Linked DNA regions of Saccharomyces cerevisiae S288C. The gene in region 3 interacts genetically with the main gene of each other region. Each region holds a gene or a part of one and is shown on either strand. Other genes may lie near its edges. The genes, in order: RTT102, PAU5, YMR084W and AIF1.

Region 1 (2,753 bases), on a different chromosome or scaffold from region 3:
AGATGTAGAAAATGATTCTTTGACATCTTTACCTTTATCTCTTTTCCTTTTACGCGCTTTTAACTTACTGAAGACAATTTTAGTACCTGGTCTGATGTGCGAACCAAAGTTTTCACGGTGGAAATGCCTCAACTGGTATCTAGGAACAGCCACTTTGTAAAATGGAGATTGTAAATTAATCGCAGGTTGAGAATGCTGAATATTTAAGTTCGAGATGGTAGAACGAACTTTTGTTTGATGGGTTTTTTTCAAGATTTGATATTTATCATCATTAGATAAATTGAATTTTTGTTGCAAAATAGTTTCGTTGAGGGGCAATATCAAGTTACTACTATCCAGTTGTTGCTTTTGCTGCGCTAAATTATTTGTTTTCTCAATCATCAGCAACAGTTTTTCGTCATTCATATTTAATTCAGCATGTTTAGACTCTTTCAATTTTGCATCAATGATCATGTCTTCATCCCACTGCCAATCTTCAGCAACATCCTCAATCAAGCTCTTCAATTTATAACCGCCGGAGAACTTTAAGTTGGGTGTCATAGACGAATCCGCCAAGGTTGCTGTTGATGAAGTACCTTGGTTGATGATTTTTTCTTGGTCCCAATCATCAGTGGCAATAAGCAAGTCTTCCGATATGGTCTTTTCATCATGAATAATCTTTCTTTTTTTTTGTTGCTCTTTGATAGGGAAAAGTTCATCAATGGAAACATGAATTAAACCTCTTCGGGATGCAGAAGAGTTACTTTGAAGTAAATTGTTTTTCCCTTGATAAATCGGAGCGACGTAAGATATTGTCCTTGAGTTGAATAGCCTCTTATCATCCTGTTGAACCTTGAATTTCAAATTTAAAGGCATAAACGGTTTCTTTACCCTAGATATTTCACTGTGCCAATGATAAGGAACAGATCTTCTATAAATCAGCTTGTTCCATTTTAAAATTTTACCCTTTTCAAAATCAGGAAAGTATTTTTTTAGAAGATACTTCTCATGGTTTATCAAGTCTAATTTGGTGGCTTTCTTATGCTTGCCATCTGACATATCTGGTTCCATGATAAATCCACCATTTATCGACATATCATTTCCATTAACGCCACCAATGGAAAGTTGAGAATGCCCAATTTCATTTGCGCCACTACCATCAAGAACTCCAGTTTCAGTGGCGAGATGAATTTCATTTGCATCCATTCCCATAAACAAAGCATTGCTAGTTGCGGGAGTACCCCCATCATCCTCCAAAATAAACTGTTGAGACAAATCACCATTAATTTCAGGCAGTTGCATATTCAAACTATTTGAGTCGATACCGAGTACGGCACCGTTCTCGTTTACATCATCATACGCGCCCATAGTCATCATAGCTGGATGCAAATTAGCATCAGATTCTTCTGGCAAATCGTCATCGTCATCAGCAAGTTCATCTTCATCTTCAAAATCTACAGCATCCGGCAAATGCTCCGTATAGTCCTTTGAATTGGCACCTTCATCCCCGCCAATGTATGACCCGATTTCTAAAGAGCCAAACTCTCCGCCAAAAATAGCTTCATATGCTTCATCTTCGTTGGCCAAGTTGGTCTTGCCGGATCCCTGCTGCTTTACCATATCGCCTTATACTCCTGTTGTACTTCTTTTTCTCTCTGTGTTTAAAATGCTATTTATTCTCTTAAAAGCACATTTGAAAACCATCGCCGCGAAATGAAATTATCGACTAGTTTATTAATGAACAAGGCGATAAAACCTAATGTTGGAAAGAAAGAGCTACGTCAGCAAGAGATAGAGAAAATGGACCCACAGACGCTCATTACTAAGGCCAATAAGGTTTCTTACTATGGCAACCCTACGAGTAAGGAATCATGGAGGTATGATTGGTACCAACCATCTAAGGTGAGCTCCAATGTGCAGCAACCACAACAACAGCTAGGGGACATGGAGAATAACTTGGAGAAATATCCATTCAGGTATAAAACATGGTTGAGGAACCAGGAAGATGAGAAAAATCTACAGAGGGAGAGCTGTGAGGATATATTAGATTTGAAAGAATTTGATAGAAGAATACTGAAAAAGTCGTTGATGACATCGCACACTAAGGGTGATACAAGTAAGGCCACCGGTGCTCCTTCTGCTAATCAAGGAGATGAAGCTCTTAGTGTGGATGATATAAGAGGCGCTGTCGGTAATAGTGAAGCCATTCCTGGGTTATCTGCGGGAGTGAACAATGATAATACAAAGGAGAGTAAAGATGTGAAAATGAATTAAAAGGAAAAGTATTATGCATATATATATATATATATATATATATATATTTATATATTTATACACATAGAATTATTTTACAGTAAAGGATGCTACACCACCCCGGGCTAACTTTATGGCTTCTACTATTTCAGGTTCCCTTTCGCGTCTTTTATCTAATCTTTCCTTTTTGTCTTGAATAAACTCTAACTCAGTTGAAAGATTGTTCCATGGTCTTGTGTCGCCTGTACCCGACATGATCAAAATCATAGTACCTGGTGTAGCATTCTCGTATAATTGTGTTAGATGTTGCCCTATATCATGAAGAACCATGGACGCATCGAACGAAGGAGTTTCCTTCCGTGGCTTTTTATTATAGTTGCGTGACCTCTCTAAGTTCTTGATTCTCCCCACAATAAGTTTGACATCTTTATTTAGATTCTCGTGAATATGGGTCCATGTCTCATCATCTTCGACGCAACGGATTAACTGGCCCTTAGAATCGTCCTCAGTATGATTTTTAA
Region 2 (2,775 bases), on a different chromosome or scaffold from region 3:
TTGCATTCCACGATGTTATTTTACTTTATAAAGCACCTGCAATTTTTTTTTTTGTATTAACTCATCGAGTATGTCTGATGTGTAAACTGAACCAGGCTTAATATCGTTTCTAATTCTTGTTGTGAGAAAACTTTCCTGCCTAGTGTATTTCGTCAGGGCGAACCTTCGGATAGGCACCGAACTCCGAGATTCTTGCTCCAATTTAAGAAATAAGCTTTTTCCGTCCCAATACAATAGAACATTATTAAAGTTAATAATAAAAATGGCACGGCACCAGTTGGAAGTTAAATCCCAACATTTGCTGCAAGAATAGAAAAGAAGTCATAACAAATTTGCATATTACTTACGGCTTCAAAAAAGCACCGAAACTAATCGAGAAAGCTTATAATATCGGTATACATTTGAATGTATTTTAACTATTTCTATATCAAAAAAAAAAAAAAAAATTGTATATTTTTCGTTATTCTCTAATTCGTATCACATTTTATCCCTAAGGGAATCTATCTCTAATTTGCAATAGTGTAGATACCGTCTGCGGATAGAGCGCTAGAGATAGCTGGCTTTAATCTGCTAGAGTACCATGGAACACCAGTGATAACTCTGGTAACTTGGTCGGCGGGAATACCAGTCAACATGGTGGTGAAATCACCGTAGTTGAAAACAGCTTCTGCAATTTCAACTGGATAAGTTTCAGTTGGGTGGGCAGCTTGGAAGGAGTAGTATTCAGCCAAATGAGCTCTGATATCGGAAACATAGACACCTAATTCAACCAAATTAACTCTTTCGTCAGATTGAGATAGTGTAGTGGTTGCTGCAGCGGAGGCACCAGCGGCAATGGCGGCGACACCAGCGGCGATTGAAGTTAATTTGACCATTGTATTTGTTGTTTTTTGGGTTGTTGCTTAGTGGAGATATAAGCTTAACTGGAAGGAAAAGAACAGAGAAATGTCTCAAACAAAGCTGATCAAACCGCTGTATTTATATAAATTTTTTGAGCAATTACATCCCAAACAGGCTATTACTGGTCACTCATTTTGCACTCATATCTCACATATTCTAATTCCTGGCCACTTAGCCATTATTACTATGGGGGTGTATTTTCCTTGAACGATGCTGCACTTCGTATAAGAAACACGCTTCATATTCCCCATATCTTCGTATGTTTAGAGCGCAAGAATGTTCCTTACAGTAAAGGTGCCTTTCGACCTGCAGACACAATGTTAGCCAAGTAATAGAAGCAAAGCCAATATTGTCTTGGCCTCGTTCAATTGCCTAACCCTTGGCACTAAACGGTTGCTAGGAGAAAAAACACGGACCTTTTCCCAAATTAGAAACACTAAAAAATGTTAATATGGTACTAGTCGTCGTACCCTGCTGAAATCATAAAAACCTTACGCCATCTGTGGGACTCGTCATAGGGTTTAGTGTATATTGAATGTTGGAAAATCTCTCGTTCTGATATGCCCAACAAACCAACAATGTACAATGTGAGGTTTCTACAAATCAACAACTATGGTTTCCCCTAATTCACTTGGATTGATTGGTTCTAGTGAAAACTTTACCTGTTACAAAGTTTTGAATCATTTTAATTAGATATCGTGTACCGAACAGTATCTGATTCGTATAAAAAAAGGAATATTGAAGGTCAGTTATCCTAGTGACAGGTGAAAAAAAATTGATATGTATGCCCTTTGTATTATCTTTGGGGTGGAAAGAAGTGAAAACAGAAGCAAATTGGTTTTGCAGTAAGTTTAGTCTTTTGACCTGTAACTGGTTAATTTCGAAATGACTGGTGGAGCCTGACTCGAATATAGAGCAAAGGGAGTCTTTAGTAGTATATCTTCTTACTTCGATGATATTTGAATAAAGTTCAACTATCATCTACCGATTAGTATTCATATTACTACTATATTATAATATGGGTGTGAGAATATGGCGTAACGTTTGAGAGATAGTCTCAGGTGTAGTGGAAGCTGAAATTCAGGGGAATGATGTTGTAATGGAATAATTAATGACAGGATATGAGATGGAAGGAAATTTAATTATATTATTACATAGAAATATCGATTTCCTTTTGTGAATTTCTATATCCTCGAGGAAACTTTCTGGTATACTTTGTATACTAAATTTTATAGCCTTTGACAACAACGAAATCCCAAAAAGTATTTCATAATTCATGTACTTACGAGAAGAAAAATCATTGCCCTGCTAGTGCTTCAAAAAATATAATTGGGAGCAACTAAAATCTCCTTGCAATGAGTTACAAGGAACAGATTCTTACCGGTAGTCCTGGTGAGCAAAAGACTTAACCATGTGGCAGCCGTTGTCTAATATCCACTAGCTATACACTTACATGGAATATTGGTTGCTGAAATAATTAGACTTAATGGTAGCAAACGTAGTGGTCATCCATATGAATATATGAGCAAGAAATAAACGTGAACATGTAAAATAGTAATACAGACACCATAATGTACAGGTTAATCCTGATATGTTTCTCGAATGAAATCGGGAAGACTAATAGGAGGCTCAATTCTATATTCACTCACGTTATGCGCCTGAATTTGAATGGATATTGTTGATAGAAGATTCCCTTTAATCACTCTCCTATATAAATATTTCTGTTTTTCTTATTAACGCAACAATAATTCGGGCGTGTGGTCTAGTGGTATGATTCTCGCTTTGGGCGACTTCCTGAATAAACAGGAAGACAAAGCATGCGAGAGGCCCTGGGTTCAATTCCCAGCTCGCCCCCTTTTTTTTGCATATCTGGTC
Region 3 (3,280 bases):
GTCTTATAAAATTAAACAAACCCTTTTAGAAAGGAACACTCGCTTTATCTCTTCGACCGAATTTACTATACATGGATATATATATATTATCTTCTGTTCACAGTTAAAACTAGGAATAGTATAGTCATAAGTTAACACCATCATGTTGAGAACGTCAACATTGTTCACCAGGCGTGTCCAACCAAGCCTATTTTCTAGAAACATTCTTAGATTGCAATCCACAGCTGCAATCCCTAAGACTCAAAAAGGTGTCATCTTTTATGAGAATAAGGGGAAGCTGCATTACAAAGATATCCCTGTCCCCGAGCCTAAGCCAAATGAAATTTTAATCAACGTTAAATATTCTGGTGTATGTCACACCGATTTACATGCTTGGCACGGCGATTGGCCATTACCTGTTAAACTACCATTAGTAGGTGGTCATGAAGGTGCTGGTGTAGTTGTCAAACTAGGTTCCAATGTCAAGGGCTGGAAAGTCGGTGATTTAGCAGGTATCAAATGGCTGAACGGTTCTTGTATGACATGCGAATTCTGTGAATCAGGTCATGAATCAAATTGTCCAGATGCTGATTTATCTGGTTACACTCATGATGGTTCTTTCCAACAATTTGCGACCGCTGATGCTATTCAAGCCGCCAAAATTCAACAGGGTACCGACTTGGCCGAAGTAGCCCCAATATTATGTGCTGGTGTTACTGTATATAAAGCACTAAAAGAGGCAGACTTGAAAGCTGGTGACTGGGTTGCCATCTCTGGTGCTGCAGGTGGCTTGGGTTCCTTGGCCGTTCAATATGCAACTGCGATGGGTTACAGAGTTCTAGGTATTGATGCAGGTGAGGAAAAGGAAAAACTTTTCAAGAAATTGGGGGGTGAAGTATTCATCGACTTTACTAAAACAAAGAATATGGTTTCTGACATTCAAGAAGCTACCAAAGGTGGCCCTCATGGTGTCATTAACGTTTCCGTTTCTGAAGCCGCTATTTCTCTATCTACGGAATATGTTAGACCATGTGGTACCGTCGTTTTGGTTGGTTTGCCCGCTAACGCCTACGTTAAATCAGAGGTATTCTCTCATGTGGTGAAGTCCATCAATATCAAGGGTTCTTATGTTGGTAACAGAGCTGATACGAGAGAAGCCTTAGACTTCTTTAGCAGAGGTTTGATCAAATCACCAATCAAAATTGTTGGATTATCTGAATTACCAAAGGTTTATGACTTGATGGAAAAGGGCAAGATTTTGGGTAGATACGTCGTCGATACTAGTAAATAATAGCGTGTTACGCACCCAAACTTTTTATGAAAGTCTTTGTTTATAATGATGAGGTTTATAAATATATAGTGGAGCAAAGATTAATCACTAAATCAAGAAGCAGTACCAGTATTTTTTCTATATCAAGTAGTGATAATGGAAATAGCCCAAATTTGGCTTCCGTCGACACATAGAACGTTTGAGAGACATTATCACCATCAAGCATCGAGCCGCCCAAACCTAACCGTATAAGTTTTTTCACGTTTTTGATTTTTCCTTGCACACTTCGATATTACTCTCACGATAAAAGGGCCGAAGAGAATATTTTTCTTGAACATCCAGAATTTTAATTCGGAGAAATTTCACAAGCCGCCGATTTAAGGGTCCTGTGTTCTTAATAATCAGCCTCTCTCAAAGCAGGTAAGAGGCAGTCTTTCTTTTAACAATAGGAGACATTCGAACTAAAACATCAGCCCCAAAAATGCGCTTGAAGGTCATTAGGATTTGGATTTCTTCCTCATTTTTAAAGGCGCCCCTTTTCGTTTTAGTCATGCTGGGCTAGACTAGCACGTAGTGTATGGAATCAAACTGATGCCGTCCCCTGAATTATATTTACAATTCAGAAACGTCTTTGAACATTTATAATTAAATTATAAAACAAAAGGAATTTGTAAAAAAGACTTTCAAAAGATGATCCAATAAACTAGATTAAAAACCCAATATAAGAAGAAGAATGTGTGGCATTTTTGGCTATTGCAATTTTTTAATTGAGAAGACAAGAGGAGAAATCATCGACACTTTAATCGAAGGGTTACAGGCATTGGAGTACAAGGAATATGACTCCAGTGGAATTTCGATCCAAGGTGATGAGCTGGAGTCTCTCAATATTTATAAGCAAACCGGTAAAATAAGCAGTTTGAAGGAAGAAATCGACCTTTACAATCTTAATAAGAACCTGCCCTTTATTTCGCATTGTGGCATTGCCCATACTAGGCGGGCAACACATGGAGGGCTAAGACGTGCAAATTGTCATCCACATAACTCAGATCCATCTAATGAATTTGTTGTGGTACACAACGGGGTTATTACCAACTTCGCTAATTTGAAAGCCTTATTGATGGCAAAGGGCTATGTGTTCAAAAGTGACACTGATACCGAATGTATTCCTAAACTGTACAAACACATTTATGATACAAGCATTGAACTCGGGTACAACCTCGATTTCCATGTATTAACAAATTTAGTACTTAAAGAATTGGAAGGCTCTTATGGTCTGCTATGCACTTCTTCTCATTTTCCCGATGAAGTGGTTGCCGCAAGAAAGGGTTCCCCGTTAGTTATTGGTGTTAAAGGTAAAACTGACATGGACGTAAACTTTGTCGAGGTGGAATATTTGGATCAAGAAGAAGACTACTTGAAGCTTAATACTCAAACCAAGAGTTCTGGTAATGTCTTGGCTGCCGCACCTGTAAAATATAACACTTGTTTAAGGAAGTCACCCCCCTTCGTTCACAATACCTGAGAAACTCTACAACTTCTACATTCAATCATGGCTCATCCACAGAAACGCCAGCCGAGAACGGCTTGCCGCGACCCATGGAATTCTATTTGTCATCCGATTGTGCATCACTAGCGCGGTATGTGAGTAAAGTAGTATATTTGGAGGATAATGATATTGCCCATATCTATGATGGGGAGCTTCATATCCATTGTTCTAAAATTGGTTCCGAGGACTTTTCATTTAGAACAGTTCAAAAATTAGAATTGGAGTTGTCCAAAATCAAAAAAGGCCCTTACGATAATTTTATGCAAAAGGAAATATACGAGCAGTGTGAAACAACAAAAAATGTCATGAGAGGAAGAGTTGACGCCTTTACAAACAGAGTAGTTTTGGGAGGACTAGAAAATTGGTTGACAGAATTGAGAAGAGCAAAACGAATAATAATGATTGCATCCAAGGCCTCCTTCCATTCATGCCTAGCTGCCCGTCCCATCTTTGAGGAGTTAATGGAAGTTCCAGTAAACGTTGAA
Region 4 (3,478 bases), on a different chromosome or scaffold from region 3:
TGCTAGCTTGCAGCGATAGGTTTCCTTAGGAAGCTTGACATTTTCCAACATAGTAAGTTTGCATTCCTTCTTACCATGGATCAACCTCCACTGTGCGTTTACTTTTGTAAAATAAACCTGCACCGCGTCTTCGGTGTAAGGGACCAAAATCTCAATTGAACTGAACCTAGGATCTTCGTTTTGTCTCCTCAAAACAGCTGGCTCTAGAATGGTTTTCCTGAATGCTTCTTGGCAGTCAGTACCATTAAAAAAAAAATGTGCAGTTTTCCATGCTTTGTTTTCATACAAGTAGGAATTGAAATGTATTGCAACAGCGTCCCAATCAGCAGAGTATGCACCTGGTGCACTTTTGATGATTTCTTTAGAAAGCTGGGTGAGTTGATTTGATAAAGTATATTTACTGTACTGTATTTGAACTACTGGCAAAATAGCAATTAGCGCCAGGATTAGAACTACTGAAGTCAGAAGGGGATAAAACCAAGTACTGGCCATCCCCCACCAAACGGCAAGCGGTAACCATGATAGCGACCAGATCCAAAATCCTGAGTTGCGAATCTCACTGCACAACCATGTTAAACGGTTTCTGAAAATATCCTCGGGCAAACAAAAGCTACTATGGGTCTCAAGACCTTTAGAGGACAAAAGTCTAATCTCTTCCCCCATATTCAATATAGTGTATTTCACATTAATGTTATGAGGTACGTAACAAGTTTACTGAGGTTTAATCACTCGCAGTGTTTTTTATATAATTCGCAAGATGAAATTTGTTGACAGCGCGTTCATCACGCAGCTGTTGAGTTTTATAGTTAAAGCCACGATCAAAAAAAGAGCAACAGCTTCGAGCAGTTTCGAGTGAAAGAGAATCTATGTTGGTTTATGTTCCGGAAGCACGGGAGAAATGGACTTCACTCAAGTACCCAAGTTATCACTAAAATGTAAGTCAATGTATGTTTACAGATACGAGCTGCGATGTTTTATAATACATGGTACACAATAGGTGAAGTATTGTGGCTTATTTTTGAATTATCAAACAATGTAATAGCTTTCCAAAGCATACCATATAACTCCTATGAATTAAGCGGCGGTCTCATTATAAAGTCGGGACACTTTTTGGTCAAAGCTCTCGATTAGTTTTTGAATACTGTGCAAAGTCTTTAATGATATTGTCATCAGTTCATAATCGAATTCTCTGGTACATTTTTTCTTATTTTATTGATCAATGTTAATGTCAGTTTGCTGGCTCTTGTTTTTTTTTTTTTTTTTTTTTTTTGACTGTTAGTTAAGTTGCCCAGCTAAGCTTACTCAATGAGTTAAGTATTTATTTTCATATTTTCATCATAAAATACTGCGCTATCTCGTGCCCTCGTCTCTTATACAATAGGCAGTACTTGACTAGAATCTAGGAGTGCTTTTCCTGAAACTCTCTATAATAACAACCCATCTCCCGCCGATTGTATAGTGAGCCAAGTGTTCTCATAATGGGGGTCTTGAAGAAGACTTCAATGGTGTCTCATAGTAGCAGTACTAGTAGTGCTAGGAAGATGAGCATTGTACAGCTTACTTTTCGTTATTAGTGATACATGACTGAGTGATTGTAGTTGGTAATACTGGATTAGTAATCGTTAAAAAGCGATAAAAATTAATTGAATGTCCACCCTGCATGATTAGTCCTTTTTATCTGGCTGGACAAATGAAGCCTATTATAAGTATTAATATATTAGCTGCTGCAGACTAGAAACGAAAGCAGTGATAAATCATTGATAGACACACATTTCCTCATCGTTGTTCTTCATTATTTACAGGAAAGAGCAGAGAAAGGAAGAAAGAAATTGCAAAATATATGACAATTAACACAAAGAACATAGTTGTTGTTGGTGCTGGTGTGTTTGGTGTGTCTGTGGCAAATCACTTGTACAGGGAACTGGGTGGGACATACGCAATAAAGCTCGTCACAGCATCTAATTATGTGTATTTTCTACCCTCAGCTGTCCGTTTGACGGTTTCAAAGGATTATACCAAGTCGATCCTGCCGTTAAAAAATGTTCTTGATAGTGGTATTGAAGTTATCAAAGATACGGCTGCCAGCTTTGATGATAAGGAGGTAGTTTTGGGGTCAGACAGGGCCATAAAGTTTGATATCTTGGTTCTTGCAACTGGCTCAAAGTGGGCTGATCCAATTGGTTCAACTTATACCTTCGGGGATAACTATAAAGAGTATTTTGAAAGAGAGGCTTCTCGAATCTCAGATGCAGATCACATACTTTTTCTTGGCGGTGGCTTTGTTAATTGTGAACTAGCTGGTGAATTGTTATTCAAGTATTTGGAGGAGATCAGGTCTGGCAAAAAGCGTATTTCCATTATTCATAATTCCGATAAGCTACTGCCGGACTCTGGGTTATACAACGATACCCTAAGAAAAAATGTGACAGACTATCTCTCAAAAAATGGTATTACGTTGTACTTGAACACAGTAGGGGCTTCTTTAGACACCTCGCCGAAACGTATTTTTCTAGGTGAGGGCTCATCTAAATATATAGATGCTGATTTGATTTACAGAGGCGTTGGTATTTCTCCAAATGTGCCGGTCAACAGTATTTCAGACCTTTGTGACAAGAAAGGGTTCATTCAAGTTGAAAAAAACTTCAGGGTAAAAGCTGTTGAGGCAGGAAACGTTTTTGCCATTGGTGATGTAACGAATTTTAGATATCACGGATTGGTTAAAAGAGATAATTGGGTTGATGTTTTGACCCGAAATGTTATAAGTTCTTTACAAGAAGGAACAGAGGCTAGTCTCGTTGATGCAGATTGTCTTGAGACAGGACATGCCCCAAGTGGTGTCTCCCTTGGGCCAAATGCAGGGTTTGGCCAATTTCCACTACCGTTACTTGGGACGATTAATATTCCATCGTTTTTAATTTCTAGAGCAAAGTCGAAGAATCTTTTCTCCGACAAAATGGAACCTTTATTCAAAAAATAGACTAAAATATGAACTGCAGCGTATATATATATATATATATATATATATTAGTTTCTGTATTGTGAAACAAAGAAGGCCGCTGGAAACAACAAATGTTGAACTTCGCATTCAGATAATAATCTATTAAAACCCGAAGTTACTCGAAAATGTTAGCTTTGGATTCTCACACTATATGTAGTTTCTTTGACAGTAGTAAAACGGTATTACACCTGTGCATTAGAGTTATCAATCGCTTGATAACAATTTGACATTTTGGAGGGTCCATGAAGATAGGTACTGATTTTACTCGAAGTGTGAATGTTTTATACCGAAGTTTTGTTATATAGAGATACAGATATCAACAGGATTGACCACCTTCTTTTTTAAACCTAGTATAATGGGGACGGTGAGAATTAACAGTTAAGGTATAGGCGTGATGCCATGGGAGGGGCAAATACGGAACTGGAGTAAAGTATTGTGTGGTTTAGGTGCTGGGAAAAAGAAAGCATTAGAATGCTCAAT

Evidence for each region.
Region 1: mutations in YMR084W (region 3) and RTT102 together harm fitness more than expected from each alone (negative genetic interaction), as found in Saccharomyces cerevisiae (one large-scale study listed by BioGRID).
Region 2: mutations in YMR084W (region 3) and PAU5 together harm fitness more than expected from each alone (negative genetic interaction), as found in Saccharomyces cerevisiae (one large-scale study listed by BioGRID).
Region 4: mutations in YMR084W (region 3) and AIF1 together harm fitness more than expected from each alone (negative genetic interaction), as found in Saccharomyces cerevisiae (one large-scale study listed by BioGRID).

The regions. Positions count from the first base shown.
Region 1 is NC_001139.9:1,041,497-1,044,249, forward strand, and holds RTT102 (Rtt102p), read left to right. Parts: upstream 1-1,779; coding exon 1,780-2,253; downstream 2,254-2,753. Other genes in the region: TAF1 (histone acetyltransferase), read right to left, coding at 1-1,599; RNH70 (Rnh70p), read right to left, coding at 2,323-2,753. UniProt on the Saccharomyces cerevisiae protein: Probable component of the chromatin structure-remodeling complex (RSC) which is involved in transcription regulation and nucleosome positioning. RSC is responsible for the transfer of a histone octamer from a nucleosome core particle to naked DNA.
Region 2 is NC_001138.5:98,725-101,499, forward strand, and holds PAU5 (seripauperin PAU5), read right to left. Parts: upstream 876-2,775; coding exon 507-875; downstream 1-506. Other genes in the region: YFL019C (uncharacterized protein), read right to left, coding at 1,528-1,881.
Region 3 is NC_001145.3:434,646-437,925, forward strand, and holds YMR084W (putative glutamine--fructose-6-phosphate transaminase), read left to right. Parts: upstream 1-1,982; coding exon 1,983-2,771; downstream 2,772-3,280. Other genes in the region: alcohol dehydrogenase ADH3, read left to right, coding at 143-1,270; YMR085W (uncharacterized protein), read left to right, coding at 2,846-3,280. UniProt on the Saccharomyces cerevisiae protein: Involved in amino sugar synthesis (formation of chitin, supplies the amino sugars of asparagine-linked oligosaccharides of glycoproteins).
Region 4 is NC_001146.8:777,101-780,578, reverse strand, and holds AIF1 (Aif1p), read left to right. Parts: upstream 1-1,840; coding exon 1,841-2,977; downstream 2,978-3,478. Other genes in the region: COS10 (Cos10p), read right to left, coding at 1-663. UniProt on the Saccharomyces cerevisiae protein: Putative FAD-dependent oxidoreductase involved in the resistance to cercosporin and other singlet oxygen-generating photosensitizers. Translocates from mitochondria to the nucleus under apoptotic conditions, where it degrades DNA and induces apoptosis.